Arabidopsis thaliana: one gene and its partner. The protein of the gene in region 1 interacts with the protein of each later gene in a pairwise test. Each region holds a gene or a part of one and is shown on either strand. Other genes may lie near its edges.

What was found.
Region 2: the proteins of BAP1 (region 1) and BON2 interact in binary tests that used the Arabidopsis thaliana proteins (3 or more experiments, as listed by UniProt).

The regions. Positions count from the first base shown.
Region 1 is NC_003074.8:22,649,480-22,653,307, forward strand, and holds BAP1 (BON association protein 1), read right to left. Parts: upstream 2,120-3,828; 5' UTR 1,937-2,119; coding exon 1,358-1,936; 3' UTR 1,124-1,357; exon of another isoform or gene 975-1,123; intron 897-974; 3' UTR 680-896; downstream 1-679. UniProt on the Arabidopsis thaliana protein: Negative regulator of cell death and defense responses. Exhibits calcium-dependent phospholipid binding properties.
Region 2 is NC_003076.8:2,297,570-2,303,904, forward strand, and holds BON2 (Calcium-dependent phospholipid-binding Copine family protein), read left to right. Parts: upstream 1-2,155; 5' UTR 2,156-2,426; coding exon 2,427-2,576; intron 2,577-2,652; coding exon 2,653-2,700; intron 2,701-2,814; coding exon 2,815-2,963; intron 2,964-3,047; coding exon 3,048-3,096; intron 3,097-3,177; coding exon 3,178-3,234; intron 3,235-3,331; coding exon 3,332-3,520; intron 3,521-3,596; coding exon 3,597-3,731; intron 3,732-3,813; coding exon 3,814-3,875; intron 3,876-3,976; coding exon 3,977-4,079; intron 4,080-4,156; coding exon 4,157-4,271; intron 4,272-4,356; coding exon 4,357-4,433; intron 4,434-4,506; coding exon 4,507-4,644; intron 4,645-4,728; coding exon 4,729-4,893; intron 4,894-4,980; coding exon 4,981-5,094; intron 5,095-5,184; coding exon 5,185-5,281; intron 5,282-5,358; coding exon 5,359-5,471; 3' UTR 5,472-5,699; downstream 5,700-6,335. Other genes in the region: ML4 (MEI2-like 4), read left to right, coding at 39-123, 230-298, 405-584, 788-922. UniProt on the Arabidopsis thaliana protein: Negative regulator of cell death and defense responses. May repress a number of R genes and may have effects in promoting growth and development. May function in membrane trafficking and in fusion of vesicles with plasma membrane.

The DNA of each region.
Region 1 (3,828 bases):
TCAATAAATAATTAAATAGATTCTCGAAAATAAAGAAAAAAATTATAAGAACAGGAAAGAGATTTAGAAACTTGATATATAAATGGAAATAAACAAAAACTTGATAAATCATACCTAGTTTTGTTATATGCAACATCAGATGTGTGAGAACACTCAAAGTAGCATATAATATATGAATTAGTCCGTTAGGATAATCATAATTTTTGATTATTAAACTATGTATCTAAGAAAACTAAAAATATTGGGTGTATACAGTTGTCCTCCTGACATGAGTATATGATTGTAAGTAGGGATAATTAATCCGAATACTGGTTTGGTTTGGTTCAAAAATTTTGGTTTTTAGTGGGGCGATAAAGAGGAAGAGTCATATAAAGATTATCTAAAATAATAATGGGTTTTGTGTTGTAGTCGTAAGCCGTAACTCGTAAGTAACGAACGAGAGAGAAACGTGTGGATTTAGTAAAAGGCTTGAAGCCAGTGGCCGCTATTTTAAAAGTCGGCCGAAATCAGAGACTAAGCCCAATTGCGCCAACAAACTTTTACCAAAATGGTTGAAATTTCTATAATCTTGTGAAGTTGTTAATTAGTAAATCAATTCAAACAAAAAATCATAAACAAGAACAGACGGTCGTAGTGAAGCCAAAATAAGTCCATAACAAAGTGCCCACGTGAGGTACATCTAACACTGCACATTTTATATCCGTGGAAGTCTTATCTCTTCTCTAACCAGCAGAGAAACTACTTTTATCTAGTCTTAAAGTTGTGCGGTATAAAATTGTCACAGCATAAACATATTACAATTTCATTTCGATTTTTTTGTAAACATGCCCATAATCTATCATAGTGAAACAAATATAAATATTTCAATTTGTCTCTGTTTTTTTTTTTTTTTTTTACTTGAGGAAAATCCTTCTTCTTTTGAAGGATTAAATATCATAGATTATATGACGTAACTTTGACAAAAAAAAAAAAAGATTATATGACGTAACATTCTCAAAACAATTTAAATTGATTATAAACATACCACTAGATATTTGTTTAATCATATCCGCAACAAATCACCACGCAAGTAACGTTACAATAACTCACAATCATTAAATACAAACCAGAACAATTGCAAGACTTTTTTTTTTTTGTTTTCTTCTTCCAACAAACACACCATGCACGAACTATAACAACAAGTTCTTAGATATCATCGTCGAACAAATTTGACTTTTCTATTTTCAATTTTGGTTTCGTGAGTATTATAACAAAAATTAATCACACATCTTTGTTCCTCAATTCCAAATTGGGAAAATCTATGGAACAAAGACGAAGAATTAATAATATGTGCATCCCCCCCCAAAAAAAAAAGATTTTAAAATTGGCGTTGATACAGACCCCAAACCGGAACTCCGGTAACAGTCCGGCCACCGTATCCATCAATCGATGCCGTCTCTAATCTCGGCCTCCACAAACCAGTAACCGCCGCTTGGGACGAACACGCGCCGTAATCTCTGGTGGGATCCGATTTAACCAAAATCGAAAGATTGACGATCCCACACTTATCACCAAACTCATCTCTCAATCTATAGCTCAAGAAGTTTAAGTGACCTTCAGGTGAATACCTTCCCATGAAATCATTCGTTGGGATTTTAGCTTCTCCGATTTTTTTATCATGCCCAGAACCTGTTCGATAAAATACCTCAATGAAGATAAACTGTTCATTACCATTGATGGGCATCTCTGATTTATAGTTCCATGTAGGATTGCTTCTTCTCGATTCGTCAAGATTAGATTTTCGACATTTCTCGTCGATTTTTACGACGGCGAAAGTCTTTTTCTTGATGGGTCTCCGGTTTAGCTTAAGCCCTTCTGCTGATCTCAAATCAATCTCCAATGTTTTTGTCATCATTGTTGTATAATGATTGTCGATTGATCTACCAAAATATATCATTTGGGTTTAATGTTTATTTGTTGGTCTAATCATTAAGTAGAATGAAAGAACAAGTTTATATATAGACAACATCACTTAGGAAGGTGACAAGGAAGTTTGGAAAGAAGTCGCTCGGAGATTTCTTCTCTTTTTCCCGCCAGCTCATTATCAAGATATAAAGAAGTCGACCAAACAAAAAAGGGCAAAGACAACAAAAAAAAAAGACAAGGAAATTACGTTTAAATTTTAGATTAGTATTTTGTTCATTTGAATTCGGTTTTATATCAAAAAATAAAATAAAATTGTTTGAATATATTTTATGAAAACAATAAAACTGTTTTCAAATGAATCATTATTTTTTGTTTTTTGATAAATAATACTTAACTCTTTGCTGTGTTAGTTCATATATAATTTTGTGCTTCAGCTTAAATATTACTCCTTCATTTTCTTCTATTTAGATGAATGTGTAAATTATGAAAAGGACTATAAATTATAAGTGGTCATAAATTCTCAAATATATTTACATTTTTAAAAACATTTTTTAATATAAAATAAACTAAATTCTGAGTATTTTATTACTAGTATAATAATAATAAAAAAAAAAATTTAGTTTTGTGATTATATGACATTTCGAATCTCGCGAATCACGATGTTAGTTTATTTACGTAACATCAATCTCAAGATTTCTAATTAATATAAACACAATTTGTTTTTTGAATAATGTTGTCTAGTTAAAAGTGTAATACGACAAAAAGGAATTAAAACAATGTGGCATAACCGCATAAGCGAGTTGAATCCAGCAGCGTGATAAACGCGGCGAGACGCGAGAACGTTCGTTGTTATAAAAAAATGCGCGTACCAGCAGCTACGATGAAACACGAGTATAATTGTATAAAGGAAAGTACTCGTTTATTTCTTCCTTAAGATCTACTTAATTATTCGTTTTTGAAATTGACTCTTTTTTATCTCAACTCCAGCTCAAGATTTCCTAAAATCCATGTAGTTTTGTCGTATAAAATAAAATGTGGTAATCATGTTCTAAATAATTTACTAAAATTATGAAGTGTCCATACTCGTATCGTATTATGGTGTAAGTTTTTTTTTTTTGTTAAGTATGCTCTATATGGCCTTGATATTTAGTTGTCGACAGAGTCTTAATTATATTTTTAGATATTAATTAGAACTTACATACTCAGGATAATAACATCAAAATACTTTTTCTTGATGTTAAAAAACTTAACTTGTGAGAAAATTATGTGGAAAATTCCTTCGCAAAACGTTTATTTGAACGGAAACTATAGTTATAACTTTTCACCAAATATTGATCAAGAATTATTCAACTCATTTGAATATATTTTCGTACGACCTCTTAGTGTAAATGGAGTTAACTTTTGTTTAAGAAGGTTGGAATTTACTTAGACATTCAAATACGTAGACTTTATCAAACAATCAAAAATACTAATTATCTAATACGTATAGATTACTTTCGTCTTTTTCTTTTTTTACGAGTGGAACGAAAACTCATGGAAAATATTGGGGGAGTCGTTGACTCCATGTCCTACTTGTACGGTTGTACACTTGTACCATTCCTTAATTCTTGGACAGGTTGTGCAAAAAAATAAACTTCAATTTAAAGTGAAGATAGTAAAACAAATAGTAAAGAAATTTATGGTTTCTTATGATGATTATGTGATCATGTTTGCACGTAAGGTACAATTACAATTAAGTCTTCACCACGTAATATATATGCCTTAAAAAATATAATATCTATTTTTGAAAATATGTACCGCATATATATCATCAAAACATCATTTGCAGAAAGAAAAAAAAAACATAACTTTCGAATTTCTCATGTATTGGAAACATCTGTTTGGGTTAACCTGCAGTTACGAATTTCGTTGGAACCTTTTTTC
Region 2 (6,335 bases), on another chromosome or scaffold:
ATTTGTTCCTATTTGTCTTTGTTCTGGTAATGGTTTAGGTATACTTCTAAGATGCTCCTAGCTGCTATTGATGAGTACTGTAAAGGAACATATGATTTTCTTTATTTGCCAATTGACTTCAAGGTATGCAGGCCTCTTACCTGTTTTTTCATCTAATGGAGTCTAATGCAGCCTTATAGCTTAGGGTATTTTCTACATCGATATAAATGAACCTTCCTTCTATTTGCAGAATAAATGCAATGTCGGATATGCTTTCATCAACCTTATCGAACCTGAAAATATTGTTCCGTTTTATAAGGTATAAGCTTTGTACCTTTTTATGATCAATTTGTGTAGATGATGTATCATTGTTCTTTAGAAAAAAAGGAAAAAAGCGTTTGGTTACAAGTTTAAAACCTTAACAGGCATTCAACGGTAAGAAATGGGAAAAGTTCAACAGCGAGAAGGTGGCATCGCTTGCATATGGTCGGATTCAGGGGAAATCAGCTCTTATTGCCCATTTCCAGAACTCAAGTTTGATGAACGAAGACAAACGTTGCAGGCCTATTCTCTTCCACACTGCTGGTCCAAATGCTGGTGATCAGGTAAGGAAGACAAGGGCTCAATTGATATCCTTATTCAAACTATAACCTCTTTCTGTTGCAAGTAATCATATCATCTGGTAGTTATGTATTCACTATAGCGTGACACACATAAATTAGGTTCATAGTTGGTCCTAATGAGAGAACCTATTTCCCTTTCAATTAGCTGTTTTTGATGAGAGATTACTGCATTTGTAAATGTGCAGGAACCATTTCCAATGGGTTCAAACATCCGGTCAAGACCAGGCAAGCATCGAACAAATAGCATCGAGAACTACACCAACTTTAGCAGTAGCTCTGATAACCGAGACGAACCTGCAAATGGGAACGACTCCATGTAACCGATAAGCCAGACAGTTTTCATGTCGTAAGCCAGACTAACCCTTTTAGGCGTCTTGTATCAGAGGTAAAAGAAAAGAGACCCAAAAGATTAACACAAGGTAAAATATATATATATCGTTGACAACCCCACAGCTCTGTAAATCCTTGGGGGTGTGGTAAATTACCTGAGAAAACTCATTTTGCAGAGGAGAAAGTTTTTGAAGTCTTGGTCCCTTTAAACTCCTTCAGGTTACTTCACAAGTTTTGTTGTATCACTAAACCTCCCAGAGAAAACCTTGCTTGATTTTTTTTTCTTTTTGCTTTCTAAGTTTTTATTTTTCTGTTTTACTTAAAAAATTGTTGGGTTGTGTCTACAAGGATCTTTTTCTTTGTACTTTGCATACAAATGTAACAACCTAGTACGATGTGTTCAGTTTCTTCGCCCGTGGCTTGGGACCATATAATATCATTTATGTAAACCCTTTTGAGGGCGAAGTTTTTGGCATTGCTTTCTTCTCTTTTGGTTTTTAGTGTTTCTTTGAATCTTTAGTCGGTCACTTTATAAGCTTCTGACACAGTCAGTTGTTTAAGGCTTCCTCTTGGAATAAATAATACTACTAAGACACTTGGTCTCTAAATTTTCGACTATCAGAATTCTTGGTTGGATACATTTTTGGCCCCTGAGAGTAAGTGGCCCATTTATGGCAGTGGAGGACCTCCTTGGCTCCTTCTCCAGTCCAGCTCTTGTATCCATCCATTATAAGGCTTTGGAAAGAAAGAAGCAACTGGGTTTGGTCTGCAACACATACTTGATGATTCTCTTGGATAAGGAACCGATCTCATGAACTATATTCTATAATACTATATAGTTATTCTTGTTATATTTATAGAAACAAAAAGTTACTATATATGTAGTCCAGTAGTAATTATGCTTTTGAAAAAGTTTTGTTAGCCTTTCTGGTGGCGAAATCTTTTTTAATTGGTCATTACGTAAAATTGGTGTGTCTTATTATTCACGTCTCCCTCTAAAAGATGCGTTCTCTCTTTCTTTGTTCCTATTTCAATTACAGTCACACCGCATTATAAAATATATTTTTTTTAAAAATACTTTTATTCCCATAGAACTATAAACAAAATTATCTCTTAAACGTCGGCTTAATTCAAAAATCTGATACTAAGACAATTTTCCGATGTGGACCAAAATATATACAAGTAGACCGGTTGTAGTAAATATATTCACGTGATCTTACAGCCAATTTAATACATATGGACCATCTAGTTTTCCACTAATCAAACATAAACCTACACTAATTAATTTGGGGAATACTTAATTCTTTATGTTGTCAATAATTTCAAAACAACAATAAAAGGAAATTAAATGGAGTCAAGACAGATCGTCGACTTGGAAAAACAAAGGTGGGTCCCATCTAATTCACTGTCCTGATTTTTCCTCTTCTTTCCTTGTTCGTCTCCCCCCAATCTCCTCCTCCTCTTTTTTTGTTCTGAAGAGACTCTCGCCGTCTAATGGGAAGCTGTTGGTCTGATGGCTCTTACGCTGGTGGAGGAATGGTCGGTGTTGGTGGTGGGGCTAATTCCTCCGCCGCCACTCCTAACGACGCCGTTGACTACTATCTCAAGTCTCGTGGCTACAATGGCCTCTTTTCTCAGATCGAGGTCTGTTTCTTCCCTTTTCCCTTCTTCAAGACTTGAAATTTTTAGTTTCACTCATCTTTTTTTTCTTTGTTCGCAGTTATCTTTCTCTGCTTCCAATTTGCGAGACCGGGACGTGATTTCAAAGGTTCGTTTTTTTCTTCCAGAAAACTGATATTCCTGGAGCCAATTAAGTGTTATAGGTTTGATTCAAGGATAGTGTATATAAGCTTATATCATTACTTTGGTTGTTATATCTCAGAGTGATGCAATGGTGGTTGTTTATACAAAAGGAAGAGATGGAACACTTGCTGAATTGTTTCGTAGTGAAGTTGTTTTGAATTCTTTGAATCCTAAATGGATTAAGAATTTTACTATTGGTTATCAGTTCGAGATTGTGCAAACATTGCTGTAAGTGAAGTTCCTTGAAACCTCGGTTATATGTGTGAAAAACTTGAGGAAAAGGAATCAACTTTAACACCTTTTGCTGCACAGGTTTCGTGTCTATGATATTGACACTCAGTTTCAAAATTCTAAGGAGGAGGTATCTGCCAAAATTTTTCATCTTTTCGTTTGTCACTAGGTAGTCTTAATATAAGTTACACTTTTTTTTTAATGTTTTCAGTTGCTTAAGCTCGACGAACAGCAATTTCTCGGTGAGGCAACATGTACATTGTCCGAGGTATGCCAACCTCTCTATTACATCATTTTTAGTGTAAGGAAGAGAAGATAAACTTGCTATAGATTAGTTTGATTTAGATGTTGTGTTGACTGTGCAGGTGGTTACCAAATCAAATAGGACGATTGCTTTAGAACTTATGCGTAAAGAAGGTGTTGCTGCACAGACTCAGCCACAACATAATGGAAAGCTTATTGTTCATGCTGAGGAGTCTTTAGCTTCTAAGACCAATACAGAGATTGTATTTAGGGGGTTGAATTTGGAATCAAAGGATACTTTCTCTAAAAGTGTAAGCTATACTCTTTGACCAGTTTATCTCAGTATACTTCAGACATGAATATAACACTGTTGTTGTTCATGCTCAGGACCCGTTTTTGGTGATATCTAAGATTGTAGAGCACGGGACTCCAATCCCGGTCTCTAAAACAGAAGTTTTAAAGAATGATCCCAATCCACTTTGGAAACCAGTCTCTCTAAGTGTTCAACAAGTGGGGAGTAAGGTAAACCAACCAAAGGGGTTTATTATATCTGAGTTTTGTCTGACCAGGAAGATGTATTAGTTTCTCTTTTGTAATCTTGCAGGACAGCCCACTGGTAATAGAGTGCTTAGACTTCAATGGCAATGGCAATCACGATCTGATAGGGTTAGTCACAAAATCTCAGTTCCTTGCATTCTTTTTTGGTTGAGATATGAAAATGATTTGCTGAAGCTGAGATGATTCTTGTATCTTATTGGTTTTGCCAGAAAAGTTCAGAAATCACTGTCAGACTTAGAAAAGCTTCATTTGGCTGGCCAAGGAATCAATTTAGCCTTACCTACTGGTGTTGGACATAAACATGAAGATAGGGTATAGACCTTCAACAACAAGAGGTTTTTACACAATTTAAAATGCGAGAATTCTGATAACATTTAGCATTATTTCAGGTATTAAAGAGCCAGCTTTTCGTTGACAAGTTTACTGAAACCGTCCAGCATACATTCCTAGAATACTTGGCTTCTGGATTTGAATTGAACTTCATGGTTGCAATTGATTTCACAGGTAAAAAGATCTGAAAAGTGCAGAGTTTTTCTAGACTCTCTCTCTCTCTCTTTAAACTAATCCAATTTGTCCCTTCTTCCATCAGCTTCAAATGGAAATCCTCGCCTGCCAGATTCCTTGCATTACATTGATCCTACAGGACGATTAAATGCCTACCAGAGAGTAAGAACTCGATCTATTCAAGTTAATTTGCAGAAGCTGGTGACTGTGTGTGATCTTTCTTCTTTCTATTCAGGCAATAGTTGAAGTTGGAGAAGTGTTGCAGTTCTATGACTCGGACAAACGCTTTCCCGCATGGGGTTTTGGAGCTCGTCCAATCGACATCCCGGTCTCACATTGCTTTAACCTCAACGGAAGCAGTACTTATTGCGAGGTCTTGCAACAAATCCTACTCACATTGAACTAACTTTTGTATCAAAATTTCTCAATTAATCTTTGTTATTTGATTGTTTCTCAGGTAGACGGAATTCAAGGAATCATGAATGCCTACAATGGCGCTCTCTTCAATGTCTCTTTTGCAGGACCTACTCTATTTGGTCCTGTAATCAACGCTGCTGCAACAATCGCAAGCGATTCACTCGCTCAAAGTGCAAAGAAATATTACGTCTTGTTAATAATCACAGTGAGTTTATACACAACAAGACGTGTGATTTTCCTCTGATTCTTGTGTTTTTATCTATATGAAAATACCATGTCGGTTTTTTTGTAGGATGGAGTAATAACAGATCTTCAAGAAACGAGAGACTCAATTGTCAGTGCATCGGATCTCCCATTATCAATCCTCATCGTTGGAGTCGGAGGAGCTGACTATAAAGAAATGGAGGTTCTTAAACAAAAACGTTATGCTTAACTTCATTTGAAAAACTTCTTGAAATAGATTCTTACAAGGTTTATGTATTGGTTGTTTGTATAGGTACTAGATGGAGATAAAGGAGAGAAATTAGAGAGCTCCAGTGGTCGAATAGCATCGCGCGATATCGTCCAGTTTGTTGCATTACGAGACATACAATGTGAGTCTCGTGTTTCTTGATTTGTCAGGCAGAGTTTTGGTCTCTGATCATTGTGGTTGTTGTTGTTGTTGTTGCAGATGGAGAGGTCTCAGTGGTAGAAGCACTTCTAGCAGAATTGCCAACACAATTTTTGACGTATATGAGAAACCGTAATATTACTCCCACCACCACTACTCCATCTTCTACTTGATCCACACTCTCAACACTGTACATACATCAGTCAGTCACAGCTATAAACGCTGTCGTCTTATCTTGGCTTTTATTTTTGTTTTTTTCGATTTTATATTGTCTGGAATTTTTCCGTTTTCCAGTATTCCACGTCAAATTATATCTCATCACTCTTCATTATTATATTTGTTGTCAAAAACATAATTTATTATATATGCCAAATTATTAGTTGGTTTGGGCGTATTCACATAGATATGTACTGTTTCAACGGTCAACATATATAGTTGTTGACTTTCTTAATTTGGTTGGGATTTAGGTGGACTTTCTAAGTCTAACTTTTATTAAACGTGACCGTTGATTATTCTTTACCGTACTTGTCGCTGAAACAGATACTGTCTATTACAGCAACAAAACGAGACCTTAAAATATAAATATTCTATTATATAGTATCTATTTTTAATCTCATAATACTAAATCTGAAATTTTGTTTATATATACGTATTGTGTTATAATTATCATAAAATTGAAAGTAAATTTTTTAAAAAAGTTGTCAAGCCGTTTTATGCAAAAAAGATTTTTTTTTTAAAAAAAAAATTTACATTATGTGACGTCGTTAAACTCATTTTCCCTGCTTGGCAAATTCACAAAATGTTGTTTCTTCGTTCTCGTCAACAAATCTGAAAATACCTACACATGCCATGTGTATATCCTGTTTTAAAGTTTAATTTTTTCATTTAAATTCAAATTCATTGACATGTCGTTGTAAGATACTCTCAACCTTTTTTCTATCAGATTGACTTTCTTATTAAAAAAGTCACTTTCTTTTCTCGTAATCTTAGCTATATAATGTCATTTTTGTATAATTTAGACGTAGAAAAGTTGGCTA